Macaca mulatta: one gene and its partner. The main gene of each other region encodes a partner of the protein of the gene in region 2 in a complex. Links are inferred from orthologs where the notes say so. Each region holds a gene or a part of one and is shown on either strand. Other genes may lie near its edges.

Evidence for each region. Proteins that work in one complex are often made in the same cells at the same time.
Region 1: PPIL2 (region 2) and SCNM1 share a complex: the UniProt entries of both Homo sapiens proteins name them as parts of the minor spliceosome. The link is inferred for Macaca mulatta from reciprocal best matches to the Homo sapiens genes PPIL2 and SCNM1.

The regions. Positions count from the first base shown.
Region 1 is NC_133406.1:115,922,312-115,926,908, reverse strand, and holds the start of SCNM1 (sodium channel modifier 1), read left to right. Parts: upstream 1-1,437; 5' UTR 1,438-1,551; coding exon 1,552-1,602; exon of another isoform or gene 1,603-1,651; intron 1,652-1,876; coding exon 1,877-1,947; intron 1,948-2,303; coding exon 2,304-2,392; intron 2,393-2,489; coding exon 2,490-2,587; intron 2,588-2,694; coding exon 2,695-2,783; intron 2,784-3,816; coding exon 3,817-4,011; intron 4,012-4,597. Other genes in the region: LYSMD1 (lysM and putative peptidoglycan-binding domain-containing protein 1), read right to left, coding at 478-657. UniProt on the Homo sapiens protein: As a component of the minor spliceosome, involved in the splicing of U12-type introns in pre-mRNAs. Plays a role in the regulation of primary cilia length and Hedgehog signaling.
Region 2 is NC_133415.1:31,327,283-31,331,834, forward strand, and holds the start of PPIL2 (RING-type E3 ubiquitin-protein ligase PPIL2), read right to left. Parts: upstream 2,829-4,552; 5' UTR 2,738-2,828; coding exon 2,706-2,737; exon of another isoform or gene 2,663-2,705; intron 1-2,662. UniProt on the Homo sapiens protein: Has a ubiquitin-protein ligase activity acting as an E3 ubiquitin protein ligase or as an ubiquitin-ubiquitin ligase promoting elongation of ubiquitin chains on substrates.

The DNA of each region.
Region 1 (4,597 bases), on a different chromosome or scaffold from region 2:
AACTAAAAATAAGCTCTCCATTATTTGCTGTAAACGTTTAATCACTCTCAATGTAAAATTTTCTGTGTGGTTTACAGAGTCAGACAGACCTGTTTGAATCCCATATCTGACAATCATTATTTGACCTTAGTCAAAATGGTTAACCAATCCAAGTCTCAGTTTCTTCATCTGCCAAAAGGGAACAATAAATGTATACTTGATACGGACGTGAGGGTGAAATGAGCTAACGTATGTGAAGCCCCTAGCACAGTGTCTGGCATGATAAAATAGGAGCTGTTCCTCTCCATTGGAATAGTAGAGCAGAACTTGTCCCAACCACGCAGTGCAACACTGTGATGGGAAAACAAAGATAAAAGCAGAACAGAGTTCAACACATTAGGAACATTTCAGGGGAGGTTACCTAGAAGGTCCACTACATTCTTCTCAGGACTAAATCCCTCCTGACTCTTGTCTGCACCCCAATCCTGGAAAACTCACCGTCACCCCATATTTGAGTGCTAGTCCAGCCAGGGTGTCTCCGGGCTCCAAATGATGCTCCAGGCGTCTTTCCCTCACTGGGGAGCAGGCCGATTGCACCAGGCTTCCATATGAACGAGCCCGGCTCCCGTGAAGCAGTCCTGACCCCCCTGGCGGGGGCTGTCTAGACGGGGAAGCCATCTCTTCACCCTGCCGACAGCTAGGTTGCAACTAGGGGAGGCCCGACCGAGACTGCGAATGACAGGCCTGAAGTCTGGGAATAGATATTCAGGGGATTCCTTTCCCCTTCTCTCTTCCCCTGTGTCCCCGCCTCCCCAGCACTACGCCACCTGCCCCCTCCCGGTTTCTCCTCCCTCCAAGTCCTTATCCACAAATCTGTCCCTTGAGTATTCAGTCCCTCCCTGATTCGCCCCTAAGCACCCCTCCGACTTTGAACTCCCCCACAACTCCTCGCTACATTGACCTCTGACCTTTGAACTCTAGAAATAATCCTCAACACTCTTTCCTCAGTTTGCCCCCAAGTAGTCTGGCCTCAGGGCGCTCCCACATCCCAGCTCTGCCCGGTCCCGGGGTTTGTTTGCTAGAGCCAGGAACAAATCAGGCCCACCCCAGGTGAACTGTCGCCGCAGACGAAGAGCGTGAGGATTGCGAGAATTTGTAGTACACCTTCCACTCAGAGATCCTCAAAGGTCCGCTCCGCATCAGATAGGTCACACCCTCAAATTTCGGCTCCACATCTAGGTTCTTGTCCCTCTAAACGCCTCAGATCCACCAAGATGCAAGGGCCTGGATCCAGCTGAGCGGCAAGGTCTTTGAGGAAAAGACTTCATTTCCCAAAAGGCGTCGCGTCTGCGGAGTCGCACGGCACCATAGGAAATGCAGTTCCCTCCACGCGCCAGAGAGTGGATATCCGGATGGCGCAATGCATGCGTGGAAGTGCATTCCCGGAAGTACGGGGGCCGACAGGAAGACAAAGAGAAAAGAGAAGGCGCTGTCCCGCTCTTGCTACGGTGGCCTAGAGGAGTGGCGAAACCGGAACAAGAAAATTTATCACTTCTGGGACTCACAGTCGTGATGTCTTTCAAGAGGGAAGGAGACGATTGGAGTCAACTCAATGTGCTCAAAGTAAGCGTGAGCGGAGAGGATCTGCAGCCTCTTCAGTCGCTCTCTGAAGGTTGGGAAGGAGCTTTGTTTCATTGCTCTGGCAACAACTCGGGGGTGCAGGAGAGAACCAGGCGACTTAGAGCTGTGTAGTGACTCCTTTTTCGGTCTATGATCGCTGTTCTCCCCAGGGTCCTTATGTCCTTATTCCGTTTGACTCCTCATTTCTATCATTTAACTTCCATCCCTCTCTCCTATCCTGCTGATCCGTCCGGATTTCTTCCCCTACTCCCTGCAGAAAAGAAGAGTCGGGGACCTCCTCGCCAGTTACATCCCAGAGGATGAGGCGCTGATGCTTCGGGATGGACGGTAAGAGCGAGGAGTGGCTCAAGCCTGAGGGTTTTGCGGTTAGAGGCTCAATAGCTGTGTTGCCCAGGCTGTCCTTGAACTCTAGGGCTCAAGTGATCCTGCCTTCTCAGCGTCGCGATTAGCTGGGATTACAGGCGCACGCCACCACGCCCGGCTTCAACAAACTTTTGTTATTAATTAGGACAGCAGAAGTATCTAGGATTCTTTGGCGGCTAGTGAGGACTGGAAGAAGTGGAGATTGGGTCACCAGGGAGTTGGGTTTTGCAAAGACTGCTAGGACAGGGTGGGACTTACGGCAGGGACAGGCCCAACCCTCTTCCCCTGGACCAGTTATCCTCTTCTCTACCCCTGCTCAGCTTTGCTTGTGCCATCTGCCCCCATCGACCGGTACTGGACACCCTGGCCATGCTGACTGCCCACCGTGCAGGCAAGAAACATCTGTCCAGTAAGTTCGGGGGAAGACAGGGGATGGGGAATAAATCGAAATCTCTGCACACCAGCCTTGGTGCTATGCTTTTAATTCTGTTTCCCTTTCTCTTCAGGCTTGCAGCTTTTCTATGGCAAGAAGCAGCCGGGAAAGGAAAGGAAGCAGAATCCAAGACATCAGAATGAATTGAGGAGGGAAGAAACCAAAGCTGAGGTAATCAGAGAGTGGAGAGTGTGTTCTAGGCAAGACCCTGCTGCACACACCAGGCTGGAAGGGCAGAGGGCTGAAGGCTCTGACTCTGTCTCCCATCTTCTTACCAGGCTCCTCTGCTAACCCAGACACGACTTATCACCCAGAGTGCTCTGCACAGAGCTCCCCACTATAACAGTTGCTGCCGCCGGAAGTACAGGTATGGGAGGGGAAAGCCAGAGGTAGGAAGGCTCGGAAGGAGATAGAGGGCTCTGAAAGTGTTTTCCAGTCTGTATTCTGAGGAATACTAGCGTTCTGGAGATGTTACTTAGTGTTTCAAGAAAAGGAGAATTTTGGCCGGGCACGGTGGCTCACACCGGTAATCCCAGCACTTTTGGAGGCTTAGGCGGTGGATCACTTGAGATCAGGAGTTCAAGACCAGCCTGGCCAACATGGTGAAACCCCGTCTCTACCAAAAATATAAAAAATTAGCTGGGTGTGTGGTGTGTGCCTGTAATCCCAGCCACTCAAGAGGCCGAGGTGGAAGAATTGCTTGAATCCGGGAGGCAGAGGTTGCTGTGAGCCAGGATCATACCACTTCACTCCAGCCTAGGTGACAGAGTGAGACTCCATCTCAAAAGAAAAAGAAAAGGAGAATTTTGTGATTTTTAAATAAAGTTTGGGAAATGGCACTTTGTAATTCTACTTGAAGAGTAACAGTTTTAGGCCGGGCGCAGTGGCTCAAGCCTGTAATCCCAGCACTTTGGGAGGCCGAGACGGGTGGATCGCGAGGTCAGAAGATCGAGACCATCCTGGCTAACACGGTGAAACCCCGTCTCTACTAAAAAATACAAAAAACTAGCCGGGTGAGGTGGCGGGCGCCTGTATCCCAGCTACTCGGGAGGCTGAGGCAGGAGAATGGCGTAAACCCGGGAGGCGGAGCTTGCAGTGAGCTGAGATCTGGCCACTGCACCCCAGCCTGGGTGACAGAGCAAGACTCCATCTCAGAAAAAAAAAAAAAAAAAAAAGAGTAACAGTTTTAAAAGCTATACAAAGTCTTAAGAATTAAAAAAAAAACTTGTAAAATTTAAAGCTAGCCTTTCCCAAATTCATGATTCTAAAATCCTTTGTATGCAGAACTTACTAATATCTTGAAAAATATAGTTTAAGAAACACTGTTTTAAGAGGTTGGGAGTCATAGGAGAGTTGGCCCTTTCCCTTACTGCTTTTACAGACTATTCTTCTCTACCTAGACCAGAAGCCCCTGGTCCCTCTGTCTCCCTTTCTCCTGTGCCACCCTCAGAGGTCGAACTCCAAAGCGGGAAGATCAGTAGGGAACCTGAACCTGGGGCTGGCCCACAGGCCGAGGAGTCAGCAACTGTCTCAGCCCCTGCACCCATGAGCCCCACAAGAAGACGAGCCCTGGACCATTATCTCACCCTTCGAAGGTGAGTGTGCCTAATCAGTTTCCTCAGATTTTCTTTTCTCTCTGACCCTTCTTGTTTCAAAGCTTTTTTTTTTTTTTTTTTTTTTTTTTTTGAGACGGAGTCTCGCTCTGTCACCAGGCTGGAGTGCAGTGGTGTGATCTCATCTCAGCTCACTGCAACCTCCGCCTCCCAGGTTCAAGCGATTCCCCTGCCTCAACCTCTCGAGTAGCTGGGATTACAAGCATGTGCCACCATGCCTGGCTTATTTTTTGTATTTTAGTAGAGGCGGGGTTTCACTACGTTGGTGAGGATGGTCTCAATCTCCTGACCTTGTGATCCACCCACCTCGGCCTCCCAAAGTGCTGGGATTACAGGCGTGAGCCACCGTGCCCGCCCCCCATTTTTTTTTTTTTTTTTTTTTTTTGAGACAGAGTTTTGTGTGTTCCCCAGGCTGGAGTGCAATGACACAATCTTGGCTCACCACAACCTCCGCCTCCGGGGTTCAAGCGATTCTCTTGCCTCAGCCTCCCAAGTAGCTGGGATTATAGGCATGCCCAGCTAATTTTATATTTTTAGTAGAGACGGGGTTTCTCCGTGTTGATCAGGC
Region 2 (4,552 bases):
AAAAAAAAAAAAAAAAAAAAAAAAAAAAAAAAGGATATAGTTTATTCTTTAGGCGTAGGGGTGGGTAACTTAACCAGGGAAGTTGTCTGGCATGACTATAGGTTCTATTTATAATTTGGTATCTTATTGCCACAAAGAGTCTGTTTCATCAATCTTATTTCTATTTCTTTATTTTTATTAAAAATTAGCCACCACGCTCGGCTAATTTTTTTTTTTTTTGTATTTTTAGTAGAGACGGGGTTTCACCATGTTAACCAGGATGGTCTCGATCTCCTGACCTCATGATCCACCACCTCAGCCTCCCAAAGTGCTGGGATTACAGGTGCGAGCCACCGCGCCGGGCCCCTTTATGATCTCTATTTCAACGTTAATGCCAGTCAGTTGTTGTGTCTGGGCCACAAAAGGGAGGAAGATATAACAAGGTACAGCTGACCTCCATCGCATCATGGCCAGGAACTCAGTTTTAAGGTTTTCCTGGAGTTCTCTTAGGCACAAGGGTGTCTGCTCAGCCAGTAAGGGGATTTAGGATTTTATTTTTAGCTTACAGGGAGGAGCAGGCTCAGGAGCTGAAAATCAAGAGTTCTGTTTAAGGCATATTAAATTTGAGGGCACGGTGGCTCATGCCTGTAATCCCAGCACTTTGGGAGGCAGAGGCGTGTGGATCACCCGAGGTCAGGAGTTTGATACCAGCCTGGCCAACATGGTGAAACCTGTCTCTACTAAAAATACAAAAATTAGCCGGGCATGGTGGCAGGCGCCTGTAATCTCAGCTACTGGGGAGGCGGAGGTGGGAGAATCGCTTGAATCTGGGAAGTAGAGGTTGCAGTGAGCCAAGATCGCACCATTGCACTCCAGCCTGGGCAACACAGCAAGACTCCATCTCAAAAAAAAAAAAAATTGAGGCCGGGCGCGGTGGCTCAAGCCTGTAATCCCAGCACTTTGGGAGGCCGAGACGGGCGGATCACGAGGTCAGGAGATCGAGACCACAGTGAAACCCCGTCTCTACTAAAAATACAAAAAATTAGCCGGGCGCGGTGGCGGGCGCCTGTAGTCCCAGCTACTCAGGAGGCTGAGGCAGGAGAATGGCGTGAACCCAGGAGGCGGAGCTTGCAGTGAGCCGAGATCGCGCCACTGCACTCCAGCCTGGGCAACAGCCTGAGACTCCCGTCTCAAAAAAAAAAAAAAAAAAAAAAAAAAAAAAAAAATTGAGATGTTTATCAGTCCTCCAGTGGAGATATCAAGTAAGCCACTAACTACACAAGACTGGGGAAAGCAGCTTATAGATGACTGGGAAATTATATCACTCACAGAGAATGTTTATGGAAAAGAAACCTATGAGATCTGAGAAAAGGGAGGAGGGTCCAGAAAGGAGGCTGGGAAAAGAGAGGCCGCTGAAGTCGATGGAAAACAAAGAGCACAGGAAATCTCAGATACCAAAGGAGGGCTTCAGAAGGAGGGAGTGGTTAACAGTGTGACATACTGTTGAGAACCCCAACAAAATGAGGACTGAGGCTGCCTGGCGCGGTGGCTCGCCTATAATCCCAGTACTTTGGGAGGCCAAGGCGGGCGGATCACCTGAGATCGGAGTTCGAGACCAGCCTGACCAACATGGAGAAACCCCCTTCTCTACTAAAAATACAAAATTAGCCGGGCCTGGGGGCACATGCCTGTAATCCCAGCTATTCGGGAGGCTGAAGCAGGAGAATCGCTTGAACCTGGGAAGCGGGGGTTGCGGAAAGCCGAGATCGCACCACTGCACTCCCCAGCATGGGCAACAAGAGCGAAACTCCGTCTCAAAAAAAACACGAGGACTGAGGATTGAATACTAGAGTTAGCAACAAGAAGTCGCTGGCAACCTGACAAGGGGCAGTTCTGGGATCGAAATTCTGACTTGAGTGGTTTCAAGAGACTCAGAAAACAGCATGAAGCCACGGGTCTCTAACTTGTTCTGAAATCACGGCGGCAGCAGGAGGGGAACGCGGGGCACGGGGCATAGGCGGATTTTTTTGTTTTATTTTATTTATTATTTTTGAGACAGAGTCTGGCTCTGTCGCCCAGGCTGGAGTGCAGTGACACGATCTCGGCTCACGGCAATCTCCGCCTCCCGGGTTCAAGCGATTCTCCTGCCTCAGCCTCCCGAGTAGCTAGGATTACAGGCGCCCGCCACCACGCCCCGCTAATTTTTGTGTTTTGGGTAGAGACGGGGTTTCATCATGGTGGCCAGGCTGGTCTTGAACTCCTGACCTCAGGTGATCCGCCCGCCTCAGCCTCCCAAAGTGCTGGGATTACAGGTGAGCCACCGCGCCCGGCCTGGTTTGCTTTAAATAGGAAGGCTCTGCAGCACGTGTGCAGGCTGATAGGCATGAACCAGAACACAGCCAGACGCGAAGTACGGAAGAGGGAGAGACTACAGGGGCAAAGCTCGCGAGCAGACGGGGCACGGTCCGGGCAGAACTAGAGTAAAGAAAGACCGGGCTGCGCTCGAGCCCGCAGCTGACGTCTTCGGAGCCGCGGCCCCCTGGGAGAGCGCGGCGGCCCGAGGGTCATTACCCTGACTGGAGAGACGGTGGCAGCTTCCGGGAGGAAGTGACTTTTGGGCTGGGCTCTGGGGACCAGCTGAGAGGGAAGGCGAGCGGCGAGCAGGGCGGGACAGGCGGTTTACTGAGGCAGAGCGGAGCGCCACTCCCGACTGCGACTCAACTTACATCTTGTCCTTCTGGTGCTGTCGCTTCCCCATGGCGGCGCGGCGGCGGCGGCAACTACCTAGCACGAAAAAGCAACCGCTGACCACTCAGACCATGGAGCCACGGCCGAGTTTCGTGACCACTTCCGGGTTCCGCGGCTCGCCCCGGAAACAGGCGCTTGGCGTGCTGGGAATTGTGGTTCGCTAGCGCCAGGTGCGCATGCTCGGAAGGATCGCCTGCCCAGTATGGGGTCCTAGCTAGGTGTGTTGTGTCTCGCTGGCGCCTTCTCGGGGCAGAGCTCCCTCAGCCTCGAAGCCCCATCTTCTCGAAGGGTCTCTCCCGACCGCCTCGCCTGCCCCCCTCAGCCACGGCTCAGGGCCATTCCCATACTGGGTTCTCAGGTCTTATTTTATTTTCGAGACAGGATCTCGCTCTGTCGCCCAGGTTGGAGTGCAGTGGCGCAATCACAGCTCACTACAGCCTCGACCTCCCAGGCTCAAGCGATTCTCCCACCTCAGCCTCCCGAGTAGCTACGGGCACGCGCCACCACACCCGGCTAATATGTTAATTTTTTGTAGAGACAAGCTCTTACTATTTTGCCCAGGCTGGTCTGGAGCTCTTGAGCTCAAGCAGTCCTCCCGCCTTGGCCTCCCAAAGTGCTGGGATTACAGGCCTGAGCCTCCGCGCCCGGCCAGCGCTCAGGTCTTTTTCAATGTCCTCCTAGAGCTTCAAGTCTCATGAGCCTCCACCCCATCCTTTCCCGCCTCCGTGGCCGACTCCTTCAAAGCCATGTACCACCCTCGTTCTACTCGCTCACTTCTCATTCTCTCTGCATATTCCGTCCGCACCGCCTCCAGGCCCCTTGGAGGCCCAGCAGCAGGTGGCCATCAAGCCTAGAGGTCCAAAACCCTGCCTGATCCCTTCCTTCTCTTCTGCCAGACTCTTGCCTTGGGTCAGAACAGTACCTTGGGCCCCCAACTACACTCAGGCCCGGGGTAATCTTGCCTAGGCTCCTAATTTTAAACGCCATTTATATCCCATGACTCCCAATACTAAGTCACCAGTACTCCAGGTTCCTGATCTCCACTTGGGTAGCCGCTGATCTCAAATTTAACATGTCTGGACGGACGTGGTGGCTCACACCTGTAATCCCGGCACTTGGAGAGGCTGAGGCAAGCGGATCACTTGAGGTCAGGAGTTCAAGACTAGCCTGGCCAACATTGCAAAACCCTGTCTCTACTAAAAATACAAAAATTAGCCGGGTGTGGTGGCGGGTGCCTGTAGTTCCAGCTACTCAGGAGGTTGAGGCAGTGAGAATCACTTGAACCCAGGAGGCAGAGGTTGCAGTGAGCCAAGATTGTGCCATTGTACTCCAGCCTGGGGTGACAGAACAAGACTCTGTCTCAAAGAAAAAAAAAAAACTGGAAACAAATGTCTATGAGAACACAGCTAAACGACCCCTGGTACAGCCATGCAGTGGACTATTTTGGAACTGCTTAAAGGAATGAAGTAGATATCCCAAGAAGTAAAGACATCTCAGTGTTTTATTTATGGAAAAAAGCAAGTTGCTGAGAAGAACGTGCAATGTGACTCGTACTTGGGTTAAAATTTTAATGTATGTGTGTGTGTTTGTGTGCAGAGACAAAACATTTGGAAGGGTACACATGAAACTCATAGCAGCAGTGGACTCGTATTTTCTGTATTCACTTCTGTATTGTGAACTTTTTTCCATGGAACATGGTCTGCATTTGTAGAAGTTTAAAAACCAATTAAGGCCGGATGCAGTGGCTCATGCCTGTAATTCCAGCACTTTGGGAGGCTGAGGCAGGTGGATCACCTGAGGACAGAAGTTCAAGACCAGTCTGGCC